Linked DNA regions of Callithrix jacchus. The protein of the gene in region 2 interacts with the protein of the main gene of each other region in a pairwise test. Links are inferred from orthologs where the notes say so. Each region holds a gene or a part of one and is shown on either strand. Other genes may lie near its edges. The genes, in order: PDHX, AGTRAP, FARS2, NKG7, MRM1, MCEE and ECPAS.

What was found.
Region 1: the proteins of AGTRAP (region 2) and PDHX interact in binary tests that used the Homo sapiens proteins (3 or more experiments, as listed by UniProt). The two-hybrid records come from large-scale screens. The link is inferred for Callithrix jacchus from reciprocal best matches to the Homo sapiens genes AGTRAP and PDHX.
Region 3: the proteins of AGTRAP (region 2) and FARS2 interact in binary tests that used the Homo sapiens proteins (3 or more experiments, as listed by UniProt). The two-hybrid records come from large-scale screens. The link is inferred for Callithrix jacchus from reciprocal best matches to the Homo sapiens genes AGTRAP and FARS2.
Region 4: the proteins of AGTRAP (region 2) and NKG7 interact in binary tests that used the Homo sapiens proteins (3 or more experiments, as listed by UniProt). The two-hybrid records come from large-scale screens. The link is inferred for Callithrix jacchus from reciprocal best matches to the Homo sapiens genes AGTRAP and NKG7.
Region 5: the proteins of AGTRAP (region 2) and MRM1 interact in binary tests that used the Homo sapiens proteins (3 or more experiments, as listed by UniProt). The two-hybrid records come from large-scale screens. The link is inferred for Callithrix jacchus from reciprocal best matches to the Homo sapiens genes AGTRAP and MRM1.
Region 6: the proteins of AGTRAP (region 2) and MCEE interact in binary tests that used the Homo sapiens proteins (3 or more experiments, as listed by UniProt). The two-hybrid records come from large-scale screens. The link is inferred for Callithrix jacchus from reciprocal best matches to the Homo sapiens genes AGTRAP and MCEE.
Region 7: the proteins of AGTRAP (region 2) and ECPAS interact in binary tests that used the Homo sapiens proteins (3 or more experiments, as listed by UniProt). The two-hybrid records come from large-scale screens. The link is inferred for Callithrix jacchus from reciprocal best matches to the Homo sapiens genes AGTRAP and ECPAS.

The regions. Positions count from the first base shown.
Region 1 is NC_133511.1:100,321,495-100,324,994, reverse strand, and holds part of PDHX (pyruvate dehydrogenase protein X component, mitochondrial), read right to left. Parts: intron 2,721-3,500; coding exon 2,546-2,720; intron 1-2,545.
Region 2 is NC_133508.1:49,618,120-49,622,201, reverse strand, and holds the start of AGTRAP (type-1 angiotensin II receptor-associated protein), read right to left. Parts: upstream 2,801-4,082; 5' UTR 2,768-2,800; coding exon 2,741-2,767; intron 1-2,740. UniProt on the Homo sapiens protein: Appears to be a negative regulator of type-1 angiotensin II receptor-mediated signaling by regulating receptor internalization as well as mechanism of receptor desensitization such as phosphorylation.
Region 3 is NC_133505.1:25,187,323-25,191,373, forward strand, and holds the start of FARS2 (phenylalanine--tRNA ligase, mitochondrial), read right to left. Parts: upstream 2,801-4,051; 5' UTR 2,660-2,800; intron 2,253-2,659; 5' UTR 2,067-2,252; intron 1-2,066. Other genes in the region: LYRM4 (LYR motif-containing protein 4), read left to right, coding at 3,563-3,648. UniProt on the Homo sapiens protein: Is responsible for the charging of tRNA(Phe) with phenylalanine in mitochondrial translation.
Region 4 is NC_133523.1:44,955,802-44,959,732, reverse strand, and holds the start of NKG7 (protein NKG7), read left to right. Parts: upstream 1-1,131; 5' UTR 1,132-1,334; coding exon 1,335-1,491; intron 1,492-1,567; coding exon 1,568-1,714; coding exon of another isoform or gene 1,715-1,800; coding exon 1,801-2,048; coding exon of another isoform or gene 2,049-2,098; 3' UTR 2,099-3,931.
Region 5 is NC_133506.1:96,873,309-96,876,808, reverse strand, and holds part of MRM1 (rRNA methyltransferase 1, mitochondrial), read right to left. Parts: intron 1,512-3,500; coding exon 1,379-1,511; intron 1,281-1,378; coding exon 1,161-1,280; intron 943-1,160; coding exon of another isoform or gene 779-942; exon of another isoform or gene 247-778; intron 1-246. UniProt on the Homo sapiens protein: S-adenosyl-L-methionine-dependent 2'-O-ribose methyltransferase that catalyzes the formation of 2'-O-methylguanosine at position 1145 (Gm1145) in the 16S mitochondrial large subunit ribosomal RNA (mtLSU rRNA), a universally conserved modification in the peptidyl transferase domain of the mtLSU rRNA.
Region 6 is NC_133515.1:42,764,122-42,768,102, reverse strand, and holds the start of MCEE (methylmalonyl-CoA epimerase, mitochondrial), read right to left. Parts: upstream 2,801-3,981; 5' UTR 2,772-2,800; coding exon 2,732-2,771; intron 1-2,731. Other genes in the region: MPHOSPH10 (U3 small nucleolar ribonucleoprotein MPP10), read left to right, coding at 3,227-3,321. UniProt on the Homo sapiens protein: Methylmalonyl-CoA epimerase involved in propionyl-CoA metabolism.
Region 7 is NC_133502.1:159,831,371-159,835,370, forward strand, and holds the start of ECPAS (proteasome adapter and scaffold protein ECM29), read right to left. Parts: upstream 2,801-4,000; 5' UTR 2,466-2,800; coding exon 2,426-2,465; exon of another isoform or gene 2,347-2,425; intron 2,229-2,346; exon of another isoform or gene 1,994-2,228; intron 1-1,993. UniProt on the Homo sapiens protein: Adapter/scaffolding protein that binds to the 26S proteasome, motor proteins and other compartment specific proteins. May couple the proteasome to different compartments including endosome, endoplasmic reticulum and centrosome.

The DNA.
Region 1 (3,500 bases), on a different chromosome or scaffold from region 2:
CAATAGATATGTGTGGGTGTACACACATACATGGAGAGAGGAAAAAGAAGAGAGACACAGACATAGGCCATCTGTAAGCAACTTTTGTTACAAATATCACTTAACACAACTGAAATAAAACAGCCAATAAATCAACAAACCAACTATTAATATATAGTTGCCCTTTGACTTACAATGGGTGACATTCTGATGAACCCATCGTAAGTGGAAAATATCATAAGTCAAAAGCGCATTTAACACATCTAACCTACTGAACATCACAGCTTAGCCTTAGCCTAGCCTACCGTAAATGTACTCAGAACACTTACATTAGCCTACAGTTGGGCAAAATCATCTGGCTACACCGTACACTGCAGAGTAGCGGTTGTTTACCCTGATGATCATGTGGCTAACTGGGAGCTGTAGCTGCCCAATGTTCCCCAGCACTGCAAGTACATACTGTATTGCTTTCTATTGAATGTGTATCACTTTTACACCATAGTAAAGTCAAAAAATTTTAAGTTGAACCACCTTTTCAAGTACACAAGAAACATCCACCAAGACAGACCATATTATAAATATAAAATAAATCTCAATAAATTTGAGAAGATGATTGTTCTAAAAACGCAGTGTGTCTCATCTCTAACACAGTGGAGTTAAACTAGAAATCATGAAAGGTAAATGAAGGGTCTTCAAATATTCTGAAATTAAATTTATACTTATAAACAACTTTTGGATCAAAGAAATTACAAGGAAAATTAGAAGGTGGGGACCTTCTATACAGGCAATTCAATTACTTCTATCTTGATTTGCAATTTTTAAAAATAACATGAGTATCTTATTTCTTAGGGATTCATAATAGAAAGTATGAATGAGATAATAAAATATTCTGGTAACTTCATTATAGTTGTTCCATTCTGTTCCATGGACAACAAAGCACAATAGACTTTATATCTAACTCCTTTCTTGTCCTTAACTCTATTTTGGGATTTCATTACAATCACTTCAAGATAATACAAAGCAACTGAAAGAAATTAAACACTATGTTAGCAAAGTACTTGGTGACGCAGAATAAATGCTCTCCACATATTATAAGCATTTGAAAGTATGGTTTACCTTCCTAATTTGAATAACTTTTTGTTTTGGAGATAGTCTTCCTCTGTAACTCAGGCTTGAGTGCAGTGGCATGATTATAGCTTACTACAGCCTCAACCTCCCAATCTCAAGTGATTCCCTAACCTCTGTTGCCTGGGTAGTTGACTACCCGGCTAATTTTTAAATTTTTTGTAGAGATGAAGCCTCACTATGTTGTCCAGGCTGGTCTTTGAATGCCTGGGCATAAGCAATCCTCCCAACTCAGCCTCCCAAACTGCTAGCATTACAGGTGTAAGCCACCACACCCAGCCTTGAATAGCCTACTTTTTAAAGACATATGATTGGACTATACATATCTTATATTGAGTGTATAGTTCACTCTTGGACTATACACTATATAGTCCAATTACATGTCCTTAAAAGTAGGTTATTCCAGTATGTAGTATATTAATCATGAATGAATATTTGAAAATCTGTTTCCCATGAAGGCTGTACTGTTTTAAACTCTTTCAAAATATCATTTAGTATATAGTTCTCCATTAGAAGGAGTACCGATTTATCTATTTATTTTGCTTTTTATTTTTTTAAGTGCCCATTTGCGCACTTAAATAAACTTGGTTATCCTACATTTCTTCTGATAGGAAGTAACCTGAATAGGAAAGATAGAGAGGCAAAATGGAGTAATTTGAAAACAAAAGGGGCTGCTATACTGCATGCATCTGAGAAGGAAAGAATGACTATATAGTTCTTTATAGTGGGATTAGCAATTCCCTAGTTAAAAAATAAAACAGCCAGAAAAGGGAGCTAGTGTCAGGTACCAATTATTAGTATTACAGTTGAGAAAAAAAGACATGATATTATAGAGAATATATATGTTATTGAAGTTGTGGAACTTGTGGTAACTTTAAATTGAATTATAGTTCTAATGTTTAAATTGAATTATAGTTCTAATGTTCATTTGAAAGTTAACATACAAATTTTGGTTTCTGATAGAAAATCTGTAAAACGAAGCATTTGGAGTGTTTTATTTCTTTATTGCTTTTAGCTACTACTGCAACAGATTAGTAAAACGAATCTGTTTTAAAACTACTCTTAAAACACATAGTAATTGTTCTTATTTTCTCTTTCACTAAATTTGAAAAATAAAAATCCAGGCCGGGTGCAGTGGCTCATGCCTGTAATCCCAGCATTTTGGGAGGCCAAAGCAGGCAGATCACTTCAGTTAGGAGTTCGAGACCAGCCCGGTCACCATGGTGAAACCCCTTCTCTACTAAAAATCCAAAAATTAAGTGGGCATGGTGGTGCGCACCTGTAATCCCAGCTACTTGGGAGGTTGAGGCAGGAAAATCTCTTGAACCTGGGAGGCAGATGCTGCAGTGAGCCAAGATTGTGCCACTGCACTCCAGCCTGGGTAACAAAGCAAGGTTCTGTCTCAAAAAACAAAAAGAAAAATCCATTTAGAGAACATTACCACTGCAAAGGGTTGTCCAGGAGTCGATACTGGTGGGATCATAGGCCGGGGATAAGATGGCCCAGCTGTGGCCTGTAGGGGTGAAGGTGCTGTGGGAGTGGCTGCAGGGGCTGGGGCTGGTCTGGACTCGGTAATCTTGCCCATCTGTTTCAACTGGGCAAGTCTGAGAGCATCCCTGGAAATAAGAGCAAAGTAGATAACCACAATTAGCAATAAGGATTTTAAGAGAGCTTTAAGAAAATGCAGATGAAATGTGGAGAAAAGATACAGAAACATACAGATGTCAAGGTTATTATTAAAAACCAATTATTTGACCTAGAAAATTAAATCCTGTTTCTTACCTGGTCTGTGGACTCCCATTATTTGTCATGTTTTAATATTTGCATATTTTCAAAAACCAAATAATAGTTAGAATTTTATTAAAATTGGATATAGACAGTGATTTTTAAAAAGGAAATTGGTCTTTTTTCCGTGCAGTGGATGTTATCTGGTACACGAACAATTAAACCATATTCTCATCCTGTATGCTCACAAAATGATATTCACATGGCATTCAAAAAGTGCCAAGTTTATTGTAAACATGGCTTTCACCACAATATTTTCTATATTATTGTTCACTTATTGTTTCATTGTTTATTAAGGTGCAAATCAGCTTATTCATGACCAGGAAACCAAAGCATTTTAAATTTTGCTCAATATGTCATCAGTACAACCTAATGTAACAAATCTAACCCATGATATTTTTTAGAATGAAAAAAATAACTAGTTACAGACTTGCCTTTGTATTATTCTTTAAAACAAAGTTATCTTTGCCTTGTAAAAAAATTGTAATTAGATTACTAAATATGTCAAGCTGTTAACTCACTATGCTAAGTTACAGTGGTATTAGGCAATATATTTTCTTAAAATAATTTTTAGAAGTTTAATATCCAATAATTAATTATATTTTTGCCAA
Region 2 (4,082 bases):
AATCCCAGCACTCTGGGAGGCCAAGGTGGGCAGATGATGACGTCAGGAATTTGAGACCAGCCTGACCAACATGGTGAAATACGATCTCTACTAAAAATACAAAAATTAGCTGAGCATGGTGGCGTGTGTCTGTAGTCCCAGCTACTCAGGAGGCTGAGGCAGGAGAATCGCTTGAACCCGGGAGGCAGAGGTTGTAGTGAGCTGAAATCGCACCCCTGCACTCTAGCCTGGGTGACAGAGCAAGACTCCATCTCAAAAAAAAATACAGAACACCCAGTTAATTTCCAACATCAGATCATGAATAATTGGTTAATATGTCCCACATATTGCCTGAGACATACTCATATTAAAAATCTGATTGGGGGCCATGCATGGTGGCTCAAGCCTGTAATCCCAGCACTTTGGGAGGCCGAGGCAGGTGGATCACGAGGTCGAGAGATTGAGACCATCCTGGTCAACATGGTGAAACCCCATCTCTACTAAAAATACAAAAAAAAAAAAAAAAATTAGCTGGGCATGGTGGCGCGTGCCTGTAATCCCAGCTACTCGGGAGGCTGAGGCAGGAGAATTGCCTGAACCCAGGAGGCGGAGATTTCAGCGAGCTGAGATCGCGCCGTTGCACTCCAGCCTGGGTAACAAGAGCAAAACTCCGTCTCAAAAAAATAAATAAATAAATAATAAAAGTAAAAATCTGATTGTTGTTGATCTGAAATTCAAGTTCACCTGGTCATGTATAGGAGATTCTATATATGACCTGGCAACCCTGATCCCTCAGGGCCTCCCAGCACTTTCTTGTCTCTGGTAGTGGCCAAGACCCTTGGAGACAGGGGGTCTTATGTGCCAAGTCAAGGGAAGGACCAGCCTTTTCATCCTGGATACAGAAAGCCAGCATAGCTCATACCTGTGGATGCTCAGCCTGTCAGGCCCAAAAAGTTGTTCAAAAAAAACCTCAGAGAGACTAAGCCCTCCCAAAGGACACAAACAGCCGAGGTCAAAGTCAGCCCTGAGTAAGCTGGTACCCCAGAAAGGACCTGGCCCTGGAGTCTGATCCCTGTGAGTTCAAATACTGACACTGCCACTTACTCCCTGCGGTACCTTGGCAAGTCACCCAATCTGAGCTGAAGTTTGCTAATCTGTAAAAAGATGACTGTATCAGCTTTCTCATAAGGTTACCTTGATTAAATAAATAACCTGGCACAACACAGACGCCCATAAATGAGAGCTCTGTCTCTCCCACCGATCTCACCTGATCCTCTCTTAGCAATTATTTTAAGCACATCCCTAATCAGAGAAAAGGCAGTTGGTGTTAACCCCACCTTGCCTGGGATAGAGTGAATACTGATACCAACAAATCTAGGTTGCTGTCATGTAAATTTCTTCCCAGCTGAACTTTCTATGCAAACCCATTCCCTTGCTCCAGCCATCTCTCCCCTCCGCTGTTGACTGGACGTTCAGGAAGGTTTGCTGAAGCATGTGTATGATTAAGAAAGGAAATGTAGCTGGCACAGTGGCTCAGGCCTGTAATCTCAGCACTGTGGGAGGCTGAGGCAGGGGGATCACCTGAGGTCAGGAGTTCAAGACCAGCCTGGCCAAAATGACGAAACCCCATCTCTACTAAAAATACAAAAATTAGCCGGGCATGGTAGTGGGCGCCTGTAATCCCAGCTACTTGGGAGGCTGAGGCAGGAGAATCGCTTGAACCTGGGAGGCGAAGGTTGCAGTGAGCTGAGATCACGCCATTGCACTCCAGCCTGGGCGACAACAGTGAAACTCAGTCGCAAAAAAAAAAAAAGGGAAACGTGTCCAATGCAAGTCATAGCACATATGTTGTATAATAATAAACGTGTATTAAGCCACTGTTTTGTAACCATCTATCTCTCAGGTTCCTTTAGTCCCAGACACCAACAGGGTGCTAAATGCTTTGTCACTCATGAGTAAGAGGACATTCCCGGATACTGCCTCAAAGGAGGCTGCACTAAGACCCAAAATGGCCGGTTTGGCTCAAGGTCCACAGCTTCCTGACCAAAGTTAAAGCCCCTAGCCCCACTAACGCAAACAGAGCCCAGACACGGGGGCGGTGGGGCTGGGCGGGGAGAAAAAGAACAGCCGCTGGCACCAAGACCCGGCTGAGCTCAGGGCTCGGGAAATGAAGACACCCCAGGAAGCTCTGTAGAGTTTTCCCAAGTGCACAAAGTTGGGGTTTTCTGCTTTTAAGTAATTTCTGTTGGGGTTCGTGCTTCTTGATTATGAAGTAAGGGCGCTGGATGTGTAAACTTTATAAAACGAATTGTTTGGGAACATGTGATTTCCTTAACCCGATTTAGCACAGGAGGAGGCTCCCGGGACGCTGCTGGGACCCGGGGACAGGCCCAGCCCCTGTACTCACGCCGGGGAGGTGAGCCGCCTCCAAGCCCCTCCCGCCCGCCTTCCTCCTCCTCCTCCAGGGGAATTCTGGGCGTGTGGGCCACAGCACGTGGGACCGGCCCTGCCCGCTGGAGGGTCTCAGTCCGGGAGGGGACAGCCCTAGCCCTGCCCTGCCACGTCCAACGGCCGCTCTGCATCACCCTGCTGGCCTGTACCTGGATCCTTCTTCCTGCTGTGGCTTGCCTGCCCACCTCCTTCTCTCCTGGGGTCTGTACCTTCCCTTTCTCCCTCCCATCCCTCAGTCCTCCCACCTTCCTGGAAAATGCAAATGTCCCACCCCCTCCCGCAAAGGGGACCCTGCCCCGCCCGTCGCCACCTTCAGGTTCACTGCAGGCAGCTCCATCCGGACCCAGGCCGAGGGCACCTGCGCGGCAGCAGCTGGGGCTCCTGGGCCCCAGGGGAAAAAACTTCACCGGTCCCGCCCCGCCCTTTGCGGAGACTCCAACCCCAGCGCAGCTCGCGACCACGTGAAGCGGGCTCGGGCGGGTCACGTGACCGCCGCCCGTTGCTTGGAGACGGCGTCCGCAGCGAGCGCCTTCCCCCAGGCTCCAGGCTCCCGCCGCTGCCCAGGCAGTACCTGGAGGCCGCTGGCAAAAGTTGGAGTTTCTGTCGCTCAGGAGGTTTCCTGCCTGGCAAATATCCCAGGAGGCGGGCTGATGGGACTACCTGCAGCCAGGACAACTGGGGGACCGTCCAGGCGCGAAGTGCTGATGTGGAAACAGCTTGTGCCTCATCCCCGGGGGCACCCTGTCTCCTCCCCACTTCCCTGTGTAAATGGGTTATTTAGGATACCTACCTCAGGTGATCCTTGTGAGGATTAAATGAGCTAACCACTGTTGTTAAAGAAAACGTTATTGGGACAATTGTTAAACCAGTACTGTTGAAGACTTGCTGTGGGGTGTTGGGGGGAGATCCCATAAGCGCCAAGCCTGGAGCAAAAGGCCTCAGCCTATTTCCGTATAAATAATGAAGAAGAAAGCAACTAGAAATATAACCCTAGTAGTTATTAGTTATTCATATGTGATCTTAGTTATTTATAGGTGATCTTAATTCTTTTGCTGATGCCTCTCAGGTCGGAAGTGTGAACCTGGGGTGACTTGTGAAATGAATGACACTAAGGCAAGATGCTCTAAGCCCTCTATCACGCCTGTATAAGGGCTGCTGGAGGGCGCCGCGACTGTGCGGCAGCGCCAGCGCCGGGAAAGCGCCCGCTGTTTAGCCAGCTAGGGAAGGAGATGCCCAAAATGGCTGAGACGTCTCCTTCCTGGGGAAGTTTGGAGAAAACTCCGCTTCTCCAAGCTCTTGTGGTAGGCCTGACGGCTGTCAGGTAGGCCCGCAGACATCCGGAGGCTTAACTGTTTCTATGTGATGCTGTGCTTCCGTGATCACGTTCCATGGCTACTCTCATGTTCTACTTCTGCTCCTGTTTCCTTTTTTCTTAGAAAAGATAATCAGTAAGAGTAATATAAATCTTAATATTGTAGTTCTTTCTTGATAAGTATGGAAAAGGCGCTGATGCAGTATGCTCCTTACTTCACTTCGGGCGCCAGAAATTCCTCAGCCATACCTGAACGACAAGTGACGTACTTGACCCTATCACTGCCACGCCCTATCCACCCTGCCCCCACTCTCGGACCACCAAGACCTCGCCCAACCTA
Region 3 (4,051 bases), on a different chromosome or scaffold from region 2:
GAAGAAGAATCGCTTGAACCCGGGAGGTAGAGATTGCAGTGAGCTGAGATTGCGCCATTGCACTCCAGCCTGGGCAACAAGAGTGAAACTCCGTCTCAAAAAAAAAACAAAAAACAAAAAAAAATAATAAATTATGGTACTTACGAAGTCTTCAATAAATGCTGAAGGAAGGAAGGAATGAGGAAGGCTTGAGTTTGTTCATCTATACAAATGAATGAGTTGATATATAAGGTCTTCCCCCTTCATATTCTATTAAAATGAAGGATCAATGTATAATACTTAGATTCATGTCTGGTGTAGGATAGAATAATTTTTTTTCTTTTGGTTTTTTTTTTTTTGGAGAGGGTCTCACTCTGCTGCTCAGGCTATAGTGCAGTACCGTGATTATGGCTCAACACAGCCTCGACCTCCAGGACTCAAGCAATCCTCCCACCTCAGTCTCCTGAGTATCTGGGACTACACGCTGTCTCCTGAGTAGCTGGGACTACAGGCACCTGCCACCACTCCCAGCTAATTTTTGTACTTTTTGTGTAGAGATGAGGTTTGCTATGATGTATTTTTTTGTATAGATGGGGTTTTGCCATGTTGTCCAAGCTGGTCTCAAACTCCTGGGCTCAAGTAATCTACCTGCCTCGGCCTCCCAAAGTGCTAGGATTACAGGTGTACAGCACCATGCCCACCTGAATAATTTCTAAATAATATCATAAGTTACTATTTCTATACAAATTTTACTCCATACATCACTTTGATATTTAAGCTTCAGGACAGTAAATTGTTGTTATGCTGTTTATTATGATTTGAGAAATTTCTCTTCACACAGCACTAGGTGGTCATGGACAACCCTAATTTTAATAGAAGATAATACAAGATTTTACATAAAGAACTATAGTTACTTGATAACTTTGGATAAACGAAAAACGAATACTAAAGAAATTTTTATGTTTTGATTCCTAAATGGTACCTCCTATTGTAGATATTCCCTAAGAAAAATTTCAACCCAGAACAGAATGCATGTTAAGGAACATATGGGTATGGTCCATTCTTCAGCTTCTGGCCCATTCTACTTACAGTCTCAAATAGAGTTACTTTCTTCTTTTTTAAAAACAAAAAAAGGCATCTCCACAATAAAGATATGCAAAAGTGAGATGTAGCTTTTGAATTAATATTTTCTATTAGCCTCTCAAGGCAATGATGTCCATCAAACTGGTAAACCATTTTAAATAAAATAATGAGGTATTTTTGTGAAGACTTGGCTCAGAATTAACTGGGAAGCTATCGCTTTCCTAACTGCAACCATTGCTTGTACTAACAGAGGACAAGGCTACCCAAACTATCTAAACTATACATATTTACTTGGAAGTTTTATTTGATTACCACAAAGTTGAGTCATTTAGATACATTAATTATATACATTAATGATTAAATTCCTTAATAGGTTGAAACAATTGTAACTGGCTTACTGCAACCTCCACCTCCCAGGTCCCTGATTCTCCTCCATTAGCCTCCCAAGTAGCTAGGATTACAGGCACGAGTCACCAGGCCGAGCCAATTTTTGTATTTTTCAGTAGCGTGTTGTACTGGCCCGAGCATAGAAAGTTAACACCAAGACAAAAGTATGCCAAATTGCAGGGTCTTAATTGCCGGCGGTCACGGAGGACTCTCGTCTCTCCAACCCGTGGCCCTGAAAGGAGGGTGTCAAGAACTTTTACGCCTGTAAACCACCTTGGGGGTGAGGGTGAGGGGCTTTAGACATTCCAAGGGCCAGTGGATTCCGTAAATTACCTCTGGGGCGGAGATGAGAGTGAGGGGCTCCGGACATTCCCAGGGCCAGAGGGCTTTGGATATTCCGATTGTGGCTTAAGCGGTTTACAGAAGTCAAGATAAGTGTTAGTTTACACGTTGTCTGGATATGGGTGGAAATTACAGACCTTAGTTACTTATTACAAGTCGCAGGGGCCAAGATGGCGTGGGTTTGGACTGCTTGCCTGTCACATCAGGGTTACAGAGAGCAGTTTCAACACAAAGCCTAGGTATGGTTGAGGTATGCAGCTTTATGGGGCTTTTACCATGTCACAACGACGGGGTTTCACCATGTTGGCCAGTCTGGTCTTGAACTCTTAACCTCATGATCCGCCCGCCTCGGCCTCCCAAAGTGCTGGGATTACAGGCGGGAGCCACTGCGTCCAGCCCTTTTGTTTTTACGTATAAAGGTACTCCTCACTGTGCTTGAATGCAGAAAGGTGTCGTTCTTCCTAAGGTTATGTAAAGCAAGATTCCAAAAATAAGAAAATTGCTTTGCGAACACAGTACTAGAATTGGCTGAGGCTTCCCTGCCTCCAGTCCCATGCTCAAAAATTAGAACAAGCAACTTTATCCACCACTTTAATAAGGTAATTCAAAAAAGTTTAGGTCAAGCCATGGGAGAAAACTTGCTCTGCTTCTTGGAGAATACCTAAACCCCTAAAGGTCTCTAATTATTCTCCGAGGTCTACAGCCAGGCTGCATTTTACAAATTTATTAGTTTACAAAACCACGGGGACACTTCACTCAAAAGCAAATCCACATCAGGAAAGAGGAAAAAAATCCACGGCCAATGTAAACCCCCTACCACACCAACTGCCCACGTCGCACCCCAGGCTGCAACGAGGCCGGCACTCACCCACCGCTCTCCCGGGAAACCCAGACCCAAGTGTTTCAAAATCGGAAGCGTGGCAGGCTAGTTCGCTCTCAGGGCAAGAATCTTAAACCCCAACTGAAGAGACACCCCTGTACGCTGGGCACCGCCATTTTGACAGAAAGCGGGCCTGTCCCGCAGGCCCCTATGCAGGTCGCCCTGAGCAGCGCCGGAGTACCACAGAACCCCTGGCTCATCACCTCCACACCCAGACATCGCGCCTCCCAACATAGAGAAGGCCATGAAACCCCATCCAGCCGAGCAGGATCGGGCGAAGTCAAGTCACCCTTGAAATCCCGCAAGGCCTCTCAGGCAGCACTGAGGGCGGCCGCAGCCAGTGGGGGCGGGGAATCGGCGGTCAAGGGCGGGCCTTCGGCGCGGCGGCCTTCGGTAACCCTGGCAACGCAGCCTCCTGGAGGTACTAAGGGCCGCTGCGCCTTGAAACACAAATGTCCCCTCCAAGACCCCGGACGGTTCGCAAAGGCTCTCCGTGGTGCAACTGCAGTTCTCTCGGATGCTCGCGCCTCCGATCTTCGTCCCCCAGGGGCTTGGCTGGATGCCCCGACGGCCAGGCCTCTAGTTTCCCCGCCTTTCAGCCGCTTGGAGCGGCTGCTGGGTCCAGAGCCTCCAGCCGGGGGCTGGGCGGAGCGGAGGCACCTCCCTCCAGGCACCGCCCCCTTAGCTGCCCCGAGGCCTGCCTGTGCCCGCCTTGGAAGAGGCCCGGGATGCCGGGTGCCGTCTGCGGTCCTCAGGGGTGCCCGCCTAGCTGGCAAGGCCGAGCCGCCGCACTTTATTTCGTTCGTAGTTTCTGCACAGGCTGAAGTTCCGTGGGTTGGGCTGGACTTGGGACCTCTCCGAAGAGGACCCGTTTGTTTTTTTCTTTCCAAAATGGCAGCCTCCAGCCGCGCACAAGTGTTAGATCTGTACCGGGCTATGCTGAGAGAAAGCAAGCGTTTCAGCGCCTACAATTACAGGTGACGCGGCGGTCGCCGGGGACCGGGGGCCGGGGGCCGGTGGCCGGGGGCCGGGGGCGCGGGCTGCCGCGGAATGTCCTTGGAACCACCGTCCTGCGCCGGCGGCCGCGAGAAAGGGACCGGGTTCCGCCATAGAAAAGCGTGCTCCTGCCTGCAGGTGTGGCCTCTGAGACCTCGGGGAGGAGCGGAGGGCTTGCTCTTCTTTCTACCAGGGAAGACGTTCACGTCTTATAACGTTTTCCCCCTAAAGTCTACCTTGGTTGGTGCTCTCGGAGCATGATTAGTGTTATGTTTCTGCAGAAGAGAAAAAAAAGATGGAAATCAGCCATTGGTGAAGTTAAGGCCAATATGTTGCATACGTAAAACTTCCCTAGAGCGTGGAAATGGCCAGTGAGTAGCACAC
Region 4 (3,931 bases), on a different chromosome or scaffold from region 2:
GGAAACTTACAGTCATGGTGGGAGGTGAAGGGGAAGCAGGCACCTTCTTCAGAGGGTGGCAGGAAGACGTGTCAAGCGAAGGCAGGAGGAGCCCCTTGTAAAACCATCATGCCCTGTGAGAACCACTCACTAGCATGAGAACAGCACGGGGAAGCCATCCCATGATTCAATTACCTCCACACGGTCTCCACCTAGACACACATGAATTACGGGGATACAATTCAAGATGAGATTTGGGTAGGGACACAAAGCCTAACCATATCACCCTGTTTCACAGAGGTCAGGTTTTTCTGGGCCTTCTTCCTGGGCTGTGGCACCTTCACCTTATACCTGCTCACGGGTGAATGTCGCCAGGACCTGATGTTGGTGTGGATGGAAGAAGCTAGCGTTTGGAGGGCTGGAGAACCCTGGACTGGAGTCCTTATGTCCCCCAACAACCCCTAAGCCCCCAGTCCTGGTGATTAAAGGCCACCAGGCCCACCCAAGCAGAGATGCCACTGAATTCATTAATCAGATGAAGATGTGGGCATGTCTGCAACTCTGCAAACCTTTCAGAATTGTGAATCTCTGCTGTTTACCTGCCCTTAGCATATGTTCCAAACGGGCCCAGGATTCTGAGCTTCTGCCCGCTCCTTCCTCCCTCAGGACCTGGAGTTCAGGCCCCCAGTTCCTTCTTCCTTAAGCCCCAGGAGTTCTAACTCCCAAGCCCCCTCCTTTAGCAGAGACCCTAGACTTGGGGCCTTCCCCTCCCAGAATGGAAGACTGCAGAACCCACAGGAAAGCATGACACATCCCCAACTGTCCCCTCTGGCCACATCTCCCCACCCACTTAACACACACTCTAGCCTGGCTGGCTTCCTCCCACCTCAGGGCCCCCAAGCCTCTTTCTCTCTCTCACCTCTTCCTGGAAGCCCACACTTGGTGTTGAGGGCTCCACAGGTGGGAGTCATAGGACCTGTGACAGAGGCAAGTTCTAAACCACCACCCAAACCACTGACGATCTGACACCCTCCGTGTCCTCCCCCACCACACATGAAGGAGGGAACCGGACCCCGGGGAGGGGAGGGAGGACGTTGCCTGTGCAATCCAGGAAGGGAGGGTATGTGAAAAGAGTCAGCTACCGGGAACTGTGTGAAACCAAACCAGCCTCATTTGACAAAGCACAGGACCCCTTGCTGCCCCAAGACTGCTTCCTGGTCGCTCTTTCTTGAGCTCAGAGGACCCAGGAGTCCAGGTGCACAGCCTCCAGGTGTACAGCTTCCTCCTCTCTGAGATTCCAGTCCGATCAGCAGCCTCTTCCTCCCTCAGGACCCAGAAGCCCCGAGCTTACCCCCATGGAGCCCTTCCGGTCCCTAGCCCTGCTTACGGGCTCCCTGGGCCTGATTTTCTGCCTGATTGCTTTGAGCACCGACTTCTGGTTTGTGGCTGAGGGTCCCACCTTCTCAGCTCACTCGGGCCTCTGGCCAAATGAGCATGGGGACCCCGTAGCAGGTAAGGGGAGGGGGTGTCCTGGGGTGGGGGAGGGTTGCCAGAGGAGACGGTTGCTCAGTGGTCTCCCCGTGATCAGGCTACATCCATGTGACGCAGAGCTTCAGCATCCTGGCTGCCCTGTGGGCCCTGGTGTCTGTGAGCTTCCTGGTCCTGTCCTGCATCCCCTCATTGTCTGCTCCTGGCCGAGGCCCCCTTATCTCAACCATCACAGCCTTTGCTGCAGGTAAGGACTCTGAAGTGCACTGGGGCATTGGGAGCCAGCAAATTCCTGCCGAGGGACTGAACCATCTTTCTTGTCCTTGTCTCCAGCCCTCTCCATGCTGGTGGCCATGGCGGTGTATACCAGCGAGCGGTGGGATCAGCCTCGAAACCCCCAGGTCCAGACCTTCTTCTCCTGGTCCTTCTACCTGGGCTGGGTCTCAGCTATCTTCTTGCTCTGCACAGGTGACTATCCTGCCCACTGCCCTGGGGAGCTTGGGAGGGCCCAGCTGGGGTCGCTGAGGATGGAGGGCAGGGGGCAAGTGCTTAAACTCTTTCTGACCACCCAGGTTCCCTGAGTCTAAGTGCTCACTGTGGCAGCCCCAGGCCTGGCTATGAAACCTTGTGAGTGGAAGGCCAGAACAGCAAGACGAGTTTTGATTGCTGTATTCAAAGGCCTCATCTGGAGCCTCGGAAAGTCTGGTCCCACATCGGTCCCGCCCTTCCCCAGCCATTTCTCCTGTTTCTTCATTCATTCAACAAAATTTGGCTGGAATCTGGCTATTTGAGATTAATTCTGCCAAGACATAAGCCAACCGTCTGCCAGCTCCATGGTGGGTGATGCCAGGCACCCAGGGAAGGTGAGGGCCCACCAGGCCGACCACCTGCAGGGCGCTCCTGCCCAGCAAGAGGGCCTGACCTGTGTCTGTCTCTCCCCTTCTCCAGTGCTTTTCTTTCTCCTGGTGTCTTTCTCCCTTTAGCCGGCTCTCTTTCCTTCTCTCTCCCTCTCTGATTTCATCCCCCTTGCCAGAACTCGGTCCTTCCTTGCACTCAGTCTCTCTCAGTTCTCTTTGCACATTTCCCCATGCTGGGGACACAGGCACGGGCCAGACTCAGACCCTGCCCACCACGGGCTCAGTCTGTGAGGCAGTGGGGAGAAGGCACTTACAGACCAGAAGCAGCTAATACAGGTCAGACAGCAGGCCCAGTGCAGGCAGGACACTGGAACAAGACTGACCATATTGTGGAGGGATGGAGATGACTTCTCTGGAGAGAGAATGTTTAGGGGCTTCTTAAGGGCCAAGTAAAGGAAATATCCAGGCAGAGGGAACCAAAGATGGATGCACAGAAAGGTCAAGAATCTTGTGGGGATGAAGAATGGTAATTTATGGCCAGGACATAGAATGTAGCGGGCAGGGGATGGAAAAGGAAGAGGGAGAGGCAGGTGGGGGCTGTGTCCTCTAATGTCACACTGGACTGTCTCCTGAGTGTGATGGGGAGTTCAGAGAAAACTGGGCAGGCGAGAGACAGTGTCAGCTCTGGGTGCCAGAAAGACCCCCTTGTAGACATGGAGGGGAGGCCAGAAGGTCAGGGAGGAACCTGGCAATGTAGTAGGTGAGACAGGACAAGGCCTGACCTGGGACCAGGAAAGGAGGGAATGAGCCAGATAGATTCAAGGGCAGGAGGAGCAGGACTTGGGGACCCAAGACTTTTCAGGGTGAGAGGCAAGAAGAGGGCAAGGACAGTGCCCAAGGGTCTGGCTCAATGAACTGGATGGGACGGCAGGGCCATCCCTCATATGGTGGAAGACACTAAGCTCAATTGGGATATGGTGGACTATTAAGGCCCTGAGGGGCAGCCAGGAGCAGAACTTGAGTCTGGGGCTCATGGGAGAGACCTTGGGTTGGGGATGGAGTTTGGGAGGCTGTGACAGCATTAAGCGGCACTGAAGCTGGTGGTGAGGAGGCTTTCCTGGCAAGGGAGTTCAGGGTGGAGCTTCAAGGGATACCCAGATTTACAAGTGAAGGGGAGAAGGCAGAGGAACAGAAGTCTGTAAGACAGCTGGGGACCTGGAGAGCTTCTGGGGTGCCTGGAATGTCAAGTTTCTTTCTTTTTTTTGTTTTTTGTTGGAGTTCAGTGGTGTGATCTCAGCTCACTGCAACCTCCATCTCCTGGATTCAAGCAATTCTCCTGACTCAGCCTGCCGAGTAGCTGAGATTACAGGCATGTGCCACCATGCTGGCTAATTTTATTTTGTTTTGGCATTTTTGAGATGGAGTCTTGCTCCGTCACCCAGGCTGGAATACAATGGCGTAATCTCACCTCACTGCAACCTCCATCTCCTGGGTTCAAGTGATTCTCTTGCCTCGGCTTCCCAAGTAGCTGGGATTACAGGTAACTGCCATCATGCCTGGCTAACCTGACTAATTTTTGTATTTTTTTTTTCTTTTTTTTTGAAACA
Region 5 (3,500 bases), on a different chromosome or scaffold from region 2:
AGCACCAAATCTGTTTCCGTTGCACAATCCACGGCAAGCCTGCCCCCAGGTCCTCCCCTTGAGGGGAACTGACTCCGTCACCCGTAGGGGTCCCAGTGGGGTGGGAGATGTTTGCTAATTTCCCCTGGCCTCTCATGGGGCTGCAGCCGGGAGTCTCCCCAGCAAGGTGGCGGTGGAAGCGGCCTGAAGACTGGACAGAAGAGCGAGGCTGCCACCTAATGGAGGAATAGGCCAGAATCTACCACGTGCTGGCTGACGTTTTATTTGAGCCTCACAACCCTGAGACAAGCCGAGGTAGCGAGCCACAGGAAGATGAGGCCTGAGCTCAGGGCTCCACGGTGGGGGCCGCGTGTGGTCCTGCGCATGCGCACTGTCTACCCATATCGAGGCCCCGCTCTCTCCACCCCCCACATTCTCACACACACATTCGCCACGGGCAACGACCGGCTCTAGAAGAACAGGGTCCCTGGGCTGGGCTGCCTGCCTCCCTGCAGGTGTCTGAACCTCCCCCCGACTTCCAGGCAGGGCCTGGGAGGACAGATTCCCTCCATGCTAGCCCATCATGGAAATCAACAAACTACCATATCCTACTACAGGTCCAACATCACGACAGGAAACAGCTTCTTCTGGCCTCCACAGCAGTCCCCTTCTCCCGGGCAGACTGTGGTCAATAAACATGGGCCTGATGCACACTCAGGCAGAGCCTCCCGCACACTGGAGCAGGCGATGTAGTCCCTGACTACAGCATGTGTACGTCGCGGACAGTCTGCCTCAGCCCTCATTTTGCCTCTTTCTCTGATCCTGAAGACAGCCCTGGGTGCTGAGCCACGCTGAGTCCTTTGGACCTGGCTGAGGATTCTTGGGGGTCTTGGAGAAGTTGCCTTCTCTCCCCCTCTGCGGGAAAACCCTTTCTCTGGCTGCAAATGGAGTGAAGAAGAATTCCTGCACAGACACAAGGAACAGAAAGAGAGACAGAAGAGGAGGATGTCTAGAGACTAGACATGTGCCAGGCAGCCCCTCATTTCACCAACAGGATGTATTTTCCCCATTTTGCACATAAAGCAACTGAGGCACACAGACAGCTGGCAAACGGGATTGGAGGGAATCCAATCCCACCTGTGTGATTAGAGGGAGAGGAAAGGGAAGGGGACAAGACGCACCTGCAACCACAGAGACGTTCAAGGACTCAAATCCCGGAGGCAGCTGGCGCCGGGGCAGGATGGTGAGGAGCAGCTGGCAGGAGGCCTGCACTTCCTGGGACAGACCTGAGCCCTCATTCCCTGCAGGGCATGGGGCCAAGGTTTAGGGCTGCCCAGCTGGACACCCAATTGCTCGGGAAATGTAATCTGAGCAAAGAAAAGCAGGGCCATCCACTTACCCAGCACAAGGAGAGTAGGCTGATCCCAGAGGAACTCCAAGGAGCTCGTGATGGGGATCTTGGAGGACTGGGGAACCTTAGGCCCTGGGCAGCCCACCGTGCCAGCCACAAGCCAGCCCTGCTGGGCTTTGGTCTGAAAGGAGGAAGAAGATATCATGTTCTATCTTTTGTTTCGAGACATTGAGACAGAGTCTCATTCTGTTGCCCTGGCTAGAGTGCAATGGCACAATCTTGGTTCACTGCAATCTCTGCCTCTTGGGTTCAAGGGAATTCTCCTGCTTCAGCCTCCCAAGTAGCTGGGATTATAGGCATGCACCACCATACCTGGCTAATTTTTTATTTTTAATAGAGATGGGGCTTCGCCATGTTAGTCAGGCTGGTCTCAAACTCCTGACCTCAGGTGACTCACCCACCTCGGCCTCCCAAAGTAGTGGGATCACAGGTGTGAGCCACCACACCCGGCCCTGATATCATGTTCTAATTCTTTTTTAATTTTAATTTTGAGAAAGGGTCTTACTCTGTCACTCAGGCTGGAGAGCAGTGGCACAATCACAGCTCACCACAGCCTCAACTTTCTGGGCTCAGGTGATCCTCCCATATCAGCCTCCCAAGTAGCTGGGACTACAGGCACTTGCCACCATGCCCAGCTAGTATTTGCATTTTTTTTTTTTTTTTTTCTGAGATGGGGTTTCGTCATGTTCCTCGGGCTGGTCTGGAACTCCTGGGTTCAAGCAATCCTCCTGCCTTGATCTCCCAGAGAGCTAGGATTATAGGTGTCAGCCACCTCGCCTGGTCCTCATATTCTAATTCATCCAATCTTCATCAGAGCCCGTGCACTGTGGCTCAAGCCAGTAATCCCAGCACTTTGGGAAGCTGAGGCAGGCAGATCACCTGAGGTCAGGAGTTCAAGACTAGCCTGGCCAACATGGTAAAACCCCATCTCTACCAAAAATACAAAAATTAGCCGGGCCTGGTGGCAGGCACCTGTAATACCAGCTACACAAAAGGCTCAGACACAAGAATCTCTTGAGACCGGGAGGCGGAGGATGCAGTGAGCTGAGATTGTGCCACTGCACTGCAGCTTGAGTGACAGAGTGAGACCCCATCTCAAAAAAAAAAAAAATCTTCAGTAGGACCTGATGGTTCACACCTGTAATCCCAGTACTTTGGGAGGCCGAGGTGGGTGGATCACCTGAGATCAGGAGTTTGAGACCAGCCTGACCAATATAGAGAAACTCTATCTCTACTAAAAATACAAAATTAGCTGGGTGTGGTGGCAGGTGCCTGTAATCCCAGCTACTTGGGATCCTGAGGCAGGAGAATTGCTTGAATTCCCCTCTCACTCTCTTGATCTCATAGCAGTCAGCCCCTCCTGTCACACTGAATCCAAGGCCTTGTCAAAGTCACCAATGGCCTCCATGTTGCTGCATTCCGGGAGGCGGAGGTTGCAGTGGGCTGAGATCGCGCCATTGCACTCCAGCCTGAACAACAAGAGCAAAAGCCCATCTCAAAAAATTTAAAAAAGAGAGATGGGGTCTTGCTGTGTTGCCCAGCCTGGAGTATGGTGGCCAAATCACAGCTCAGTACGGTGTTCTAATTCCTTGGCACAAGCCATCCTCCCACTTCAGCCTCCTGAGTAGTTGAGGATACAGGTGCACACCATTGCACCCAATTTTTTTCTTTTTTTCTTTTTCTTTTTTTTTTGTAGAGACGAGGTTACAAAGGCTGCTTTTAAACTCCTGGCTTCAAGAAATCCTCCTGCTTATTCTCCCAGAGTGCTGGGATTATAGGCGTGAGCCACCTCACCTGGCCCTGGATCTCTTTTCCATATATGTTCATCTCTTATTGGTCTCATCTAGCCTCATGACTTTAAATACTATCTGAATTCAACCCCCGACACCCCCCAACCCCCCACCCCCACCAACTGTATATTCTAGGCTGGACCATGCCTCTGAGTTCCAGTTTCACTCCTCTACTTGCCTACTCCACAGTTGTTGTTTTGCTGTTAGGTGGGCATTTCAAACCTAACTTTTGTTTTTTGAGATGGAGTCTTGCTCTGTCAGGCTGGAGTGCAGTGGCAGATCTAGGCTCACTGCAACCTCTGCCTCCTGGGTTTAGTAGA
Region 6 (3,981 bases), on a different chromosome or scaffold from region 2:
AACTTGATGCCTCATAAGTCAGTAGAGGGCAAAATTCAGCCTAAGATGGTCTTCTACTATGCCCCAGTCTACAAAATATCCAAAAGATTCTCATCACCATCAGGTTAATATAGCATAGTTCTGTTGATTTTTTTTTTTTTTTTTTTTTTGGTGAAACAGTCTCACTGTTTCACCCAGGCTGGAGTGAAGTGGTGTGATCTGGGCTCACTGTAAACTCCGCCCCACGGGTTCAAGCAATTCTCCTGCCTCAGCTTCCAAGTAGCTGGGATTACAAGGGCCCGGCACATATCCGGCTAATTTTGTATTCTTAGTAGAGATGGGATTTCACCACGCTGGCCAGGCTGGTCTCGAACTCCTGACCTCAGGTGATCCACCCTCATCGGCCTCCCAAGTGATAGGATTACAGGCATGAGCCCCTGCACCTGACCTAACTTTTGTATTTTTAGTAGAGGCAGGGTTTTACAATGTTGGTCAGGCTGTTTCTTGAACTCCTGACCTCAGGAGTTCTACCCACTTCAGCCTCCCAAAGTGCTGGGATTATAGGGAGGGGTAAGCCACCATTCTGTGGTATATACACACAACGGAATATTATTCAGCCTTAAAAAGTAAATTCTGACACATGCTAAGATATGGATGAACCTTGAGGACATCATGCTAAGTGAAATAAGCCAGACACAAAAAAGAAAAATAGTGTGTAATTCCACTTTATATTAGCAGTCAGAATTCACAGAGAAGGTAAATGGTGGTTGCCAAGAGCTGGCTCAGAGAACAGGGAGGTGTTGTGTAAACGGGTACAAAGTTTCAGTTTGGGTAAGATGAAAAAGCTCCCTAGAGGAAGGTGGTGACTGTTTGTTGCACAACAAAATGAGTGTAGTTAAAGCCACTGATATACTTAACAATGTTAAAATGGCAAATTCTAGCTGGGCGGGATAGGTCACGCCTGTAATCCCAGCACTTTGGGAAGCCTTGGGGATAGGTCACGCCTGTAATCCCAGCACTTTGGGAAGCCAAGGCGGGAGGATCACCTGAGGCCAGGAGTTGGAGACCAGCCTGGCTAATATGGTGAAATCCCGTCTCTAATAAAAATACAAAAAATTAGCGGGATGTGGTGTCAGCAGGCGCCTGTAATCCCAGCTACTTGGGAGGCTGAGGCGGAAGAATGGCTTGAACTGGAGAGGTGGAAGTTTCAGTGAGCTAAGATCACGCCACTGCACTCCAGCCTGGGTAACAGACTCTGCCTCAAAAAAAAAAAAGGTACATTTTCCTTTACATATACTCAATCACACACACACAAAAGTGGAGCCATTAAGTTTCAAGTATTTCAATAAAACAAAGTCAATCTTTGGAATACACTATCTTCATTTTTCCTTTATGCCAAGAAGTGTATGTAAGTTACAAAACAAACATGCATCTTTATCTGTATTCAGTTCTTGCAGTACGTATATGACCTGTTGGAAGTCATACTCTTCCTAAACCGTCAACCATTAAAGTGTGCAGTCTAAAAATACAGACATAAAAGTACCTTTTCCCAAATATTCATTTCTTTATATTTTTACATTCCGATTTTGTGTATCACCTAAGGAGAGGGCATGCCTTACGGTTAAGAATGTGGGCTCTGCTACTAAAAGGATTTACATTGAATGTCCCAGATTAACTCTGGGCATTACCACTTGGCACCTTCTTCCTAATAGGGAATCTCAGATTAAGGTAAATGCTTGCCTTCTCATAAAAGGGGGAAGAGGAAAAAAAAAAAGAATAAAAAGAGGAGTAAGTGAGAGTCAGAAAACGTGACAATTATGACAGTTATTTCTGTCACAACTGGTTCTATCTACATATTTTTTAAAAATGAAAGCGGAGCGAACTCAAGGAAGTTTACAAATCCACATGTTTTTATCTTTCTAAGTACGTGATAATAAATATATTAGTGGATATGGGAAAAAAAGCACTCCTTTTGGGATTTTTTTTTTTTTTTTTTTTTTTTTTTTAGAGAGGGTCTCGCCCTCTCGCCCAGGCTGGAGTGCAATGGCGCAATGTCAGCTCACTGCAACCTCCGCCTCCCAGGTTCAAGCGATTCCCCTGCCTCTGCCTCCCGAATAGCTGGGATTACAGGCGCGCGCCACCACAACCGGCTAATTTTTTGTATCTTTAGTAGAGTCGGGGTTTCACCATGTTGACCAGGCTGGTCTCGAACTCCTGATTTCGTGATCCGCCCGCCTCGGCCTCCCAAAGTGCAGTGATTACAGGCATGAGCCACGGCGCCTGGCCTCCTTTTCTATTCTTTACACGACCTTGGAGTGTTTCCAATAGCTGATCATGCTAGGAGTTCCGCCGAGGAGGACTTGCTCTCCTCTCTGGTTTCTCCCCAGTCTTTTTATTGGTGCGCGGTAGAATAACTTAACAACCCGCTTCTATTTACTTCTGTCCCTGGCCTGCCTGACCAGCCGGGCAAGTTCCCTTGCCTCTCCTGCCCGCATGCTAGAAGGTGCAGCGCCCAGGGCAAACAGCTCCTAGATGGCAAGGGGACTCATGCACAATAAGGCAACCCCCGCGCTAAGGGGAGGCGTTTCTGGAAGGGACCCCCTAGGTGCTGGCAGCCACCGTAGAACGCGTCCTCGGAGGAGAGAGGGCATTAGATCAAGGGCTTTGGCCACGCCGAGGCCTCCTCTGCCCCTTGACCTCCGTTCCCACATGCCCAGCCCCACGGCGACCTTCGCCGGTGCCCAGTATTCACCTACGGAATTCGCGGCCGCCGCCTTCAGCGCGCGCGCCATCTTGGAAAGCAATCCGCTACATCCCGACTAGCTTGGGACCAAGAGAGACGAGCTGGGGAGGGCGGGGCGGGAGGCAGAGGGGGCGGGGACAGATAGTTTAGGGGCGTGGCGGAGGTCGCTGCTTTCCTGCTACAACATGCCTACTTTAGCTAAAGGAGGAACTTAAAGCCAGAACTGGTCACCCTTTGTGGGCCCCTGAAAAATACAAAACGAAGTTTGGAGAGAGTTCAAAGGCGTCTGGGCTGACCATGGCGATTTTTCTTTCCCGCCCCCCTGCAGAAGCGAAAGCGCTCGCGCCGCCTTTGGCTCCAGCTGAGGGTGAGTCCGGAACCCCCTGTGCACAGCGGAACTTTCGACTCTGAAATCCAAGTTGTGCTAGGCGCATCTTTGCGGAGCGGTTTCCTGGCGGCTCACTTCCCTTGCATGCGGCTTTGTGTCGGGAGTTCCTGACAGCCATGGCACCGACGTCGACAGTCTGGCGTCGACGGACCCTGGAGCTCTGTCTGACAGAAGTCGGCAAAGCCACTGGTCGGCCCGAGTGCTTCCTCACGTAAGTGCGCGGATCCCGGGCTCTGGGTGCGACCAGGGTCTCACGTGGACGCGGGTTGCCGGCCTCCGGCAAACTGTGGAGCTGGGGGAAGGTAAGGGGAAATGTAAATAACTTTTCCCCAAATTTCAGAGTTTATACCTTCCTAGGCTATCACAATTTTTAAAATTGTTAATATTTGTACAGTATGGATCTGTCAGTTGAGTGTTACTGTAATCACCCCAACCTCACTTATTAACGCCTAGATGCTTCCCTTGAGGCTTCTTTCGCCCCCATCCGTCTACACGCAAGCTGTTGGTTCCAACTATATGCTCCTAAAGCACTCAGTGTTGAGCATACTTTTTTGAATGTATGAACTGGTCACTTGTCTCTCCGCCCCCACCACTAAGCTTCTTGATAATTAGAACTTTCATGTCTCTTCCCAGCACAAGTGTTTTACACGTATTTTGTTGAAGAATTTCAAATATGATCTATAATATTATTAGTCATTTATATTTCAAACTCCAACCTCTCCTTGAGTTCCCGGCTCATAGTAACTGCAGACTGAACTTGGTTTGAATTCAAGTTCACAACTGGGATATCCGCACTGTACAACTTTTAACGATTTTTAAAATTTTGGTACTGTCAAGCATCTCAAATTCACTGTGTCCAAAATAGAGTTGT
Region 7 (4,000 bases), on a different chromosome or scaffold from region 2:
AAAAACCAAGTCAACAGGTATCTATCTGTGGCTAATGACTGATAATTTAACCGAACAAAGGAAGGGGAAGGCAAGGATTTCAATTATTTGTTCCTAACTTGCCATTAACTACTAAAGCCAGGAAATCCCTTAACTATCAGCATCTTAACCAGTACCTGAATATATGGAAGCACACTGCATAGACCCAAATACTTCAGCCACTTCAGAATGCCCAATTCTTCTTCCTCTAGTTTTGTTCCCCATTCCTGCTAGCAATTCAGATTTGAATGTGTTTGGTGTTACAACAGGAAGTCAGATGTCATATAGCATAACAATTGAAAAAAAAAATCAGACCACCTCACACCTATCAGGATGGTTACTTCTGAGAACACAGATAAGTGGTGGCCAAGATGTACAGAAATTAGAACCCTGTGTATCGTTGATGGGAATGTAAAATGGTACGACCACTGTTGAAAACAGTCCACTGGTTCCTTAAAAACTTAAAACTAGAATTATCACATGATCCAACAATGACATTTCCAGGTATGTACCCAAAAGAACTGAAAGCAAGTAGATATTTGTACAGCTATTTTCACAACAGCGTTATTCCCAATAGCTACAAGGTGGAAGCAACCCAAGCGTCTATAGACAGAGAAATGGACAAGAAAATGTGGTATATACACACAAGGGAGTATCATTCAACCTTTAAAAGAAAAAGAAATTCTGACACATGCAACAACATGGATGAACCTGGAGAACATTATGCTAAATGAAAATAAAACCAGTCACAAATTCTGTATGATTCCATTTACATGAGGTACAAATATACTCAAAATCACAGGAACAGAAGGTACAACGATGGTCGCCAGGGGCTGAAAGGGAGGAGGGAATAGGGATTGTTGTTTAATGGGTATCAGGTTTCAGTTTTGCATAATGAAGAGTTCTAGAGACGGAAGGTGGTGATGATTACACAACAGTGAGAATGTGCTCAATCCAACTGAACTGTACACTTAAAAACGGCAAGGATGGTAGGTTTTATGGTATGTGTATTTTTATCACAATTAAAAACAAAACACAGAACTGATCTCAGAAGGCCTGGTGGTGCTTCCACGTGGAACTGTCAGAGTAGCAGCCTATTCAGCCCACTTGTATCTCTAACCGCACCATGAGACCTTGCCTTCTCCGACTCTCCAATCTACTCAGGATCACACCAAGTGTTTACTTCAGCTTCAAAAAGAGCAAACAGTACTCCCGCTCCACCAGTTCTGTGTCAAAGCAGCAAGGAACCTAATCTCTCCAAACCTGCCTCCTCTTTAAAACAAGGATAATTCCTACCTATCTGCCTCACAAGGTTGCTATGAGGGCAAAAGTGAGATCATGTATATAAAAGTAGCTTTAAACTGACAAGCACCAAAGAAACATAAATTACGTGTATAACTACTTTCATATGGAAATTCAGAAGCGGCTTTAACAACGTAAGCTTCATAAAGCTTGCAACACCGCATCCACTCTTTATTCCATTTAAAACCCACATCATCTACAAATAACACCTTTCTTGTTTTTGCCATAAACTGAAGGGCAGCACTGACAAATAATAAATAAAAGGAAGAAAGAAAACCCTCGGAAAATAAATACCCAAAACGCAATCAGAAATTATCTCACATGTCCTATGTCCTATGAAAATTCAGTATTTATGACCCCAGCGTGGGCCCGCGGCGCCCCGGGACTACACTTCCCACAAAGCATCGAGGCGAACCCCGGGGGCGGGCGGGGCGGCCTGGGATTCAGGGTGACCACTGCTCTCCCCGGACAGGGACCGCCGTCCCTGGGAAGGCTGCACCGCGTACGGTCGAGGGGGCACTGACCCTCCTTTCTGAAAGCGCTGTCACCCCGCGGTTTCTCCAGCGGTTCATCCCGCGACCCTCTCCGCCCTCCCGCCCTCCCTACTCCACCCGAGGGTCACCGCCTATTCGTGACCTTTCGGCTGATATTCTAGAGTGTCACAGAAAGGCACCTTCTCCCCCTTCCCGAGAGCTACATTTCTAGAACTCGCCAACCGTCGGGGACCCGAGGCCACGGCGGGGTCAGACGGGACGGACGGACATTGCCCGTCATCCGGAGCTCCGGCCCTCCTGCCAGCCAAGGCTCGGCGGGCCGGGGGCTAGACTCCCCCCACCCAGGGCCAGGGCGGATCGCGGGCAGAGGTGGCTCCGCCTGAGGCTCCGGTTTCAATTTCGCAACGTGACGGTGCAAACCTGAGGCCTACAAACGCCAGCGGCGACGGCCCGCGCCCCGCCCGCCCACAGGCCCGAGCGCCCCAGCCCCCCTCACTCCGCGGCCGCCGCCCGCCCGCCCCAGCCCTCCTACCCGGCCCCGGCCGCCGCCCCCCCAGTCCCGCGCGGCTTCTGTTTCGGCTCGTGGCCGCAGGCTCGGCCGCAGCACTTACTCAGCTCATCCTGGGAGGCGGAGGCGGCGGCCGCAGCCATGTTGCGCCGGGGAGGGAGCGAGGGAGGAGCTGGAGGGGGAGGGTGCGGCCAGGGGGCTCGCGGCTCGCGGTGCGGCAGAGGCCGGGAGCCGCCTCCGGTCACTCGGCGCGGACGGCGCTGCGCCCCGAGGCCCGCCCGCCGCCGCCGCCTGCGTCCTCCGCGTTGCGAGCGTCGCTCTTCGCTGCCCCCGCGAGCTCGCGACTCGGGCGCTCCCGCAGCCTCGCGCCTCTGCGGAGCCGCCGCTGCCGCCGCCGCCGTCTGTGTGGCCGAATCCCCGTGCGCCAGGCCCGCGCGGCGGCTCTGCGACTCCGCGCTGCACTCGCCCAGCTCACGCCGGTTTTATATTTAGAAAGAGCTGAGCCATCCTCCCAGCGGCCCCCCCGCCGGGCCCCTCGCGCGCCCGCCCGCCCTCGCTCGCTCGCGGCTCGTCCTGCCCACCTGTCGCCGCCCGCCCCGCGTGCGCTACCCGCGCGGACCCGGCACGCGGCGGTCTGCGCGGGCGGCCCGGCCTCACTGCCCCGCCGCGCGCGCGGAGCCAGCCTGGCGCGGGCCTCTGACCTGAGTCGGAGCCTGTCTCCATGCCGCGGACGCTGAGTTCGGCGCCGCGAAGTGAGGGCTGTGGAGCGAGGCGTTCGGCGGGCCGGGCCCAGGGAGTCTCAGTCCGTGATGGGCTGGGCCGAGCGGGCCCGGGCTGCCCTGACGGCTAGGGGAAGTCCTCGAGGCGGCGCCGGAGCACCCTTCTCCGAGGTCTGCGGCTGTCACGCTGGCTGGGCCCGACCTAGGGAAACACGCCTGTCCAAAGGAAGAGACGTGGACTCGGAAAAGTATAGCCCGGCTAGGAGTCGGCGGGAGGAAGCCCCGCCCTGCGCCTCCTGCCGAACTTCTCGGGCCCGGCGCTGACTCAGTGTCGGGCGAGCCCCTGCGCCGCAGTGGCCCCCTACAGTCCCGTGCTGGGGTGGAGGTTGCTGGTGCTCCCGAAACGACTGACGGGAGCTGAAGGTTCACTCAGCCCTGCAAAAGTTAGATGAGCAAGATTCCTAAAGTTTACAGGGAAGTACCTATGCCTATGTGAGCTCTAAGATTTTGTTGAGATAGCATACGTCTTTTTGGTAACCAGAGTGATTTATTTTAGATGTGCTGATTTTAACTTTCTGCCTTTTCTTTGTCCGTGAGGTCTTGTACACTTGCAAAATGAAATTCAAATTAAGGGGTTGTATAATTGCTGTACTTTAAGTGATGGTATTGTCATAACAAATTAGATACAAGATCAGGTTTTTGTTTTTTTGGTATAAGAAGAAATGACTCTTAAATGGATTGAAATTGCATTTATTCTTTAAAGCAGAAATCTGTAAACCCCTAAGTAATGTCTTGAAAATGGAATATATGTCATTCCTGTGTAACATAGGCCATGTACAAGGTACAACAGTGAAGACATTCTTATTTCCTTTATTGTTTTTATTATAGAAATTATACATGATCTTTGTAAAAAATGCAAATGATTTGGAGTATTATAAAATGAAAAGTGAAAGTCCTTC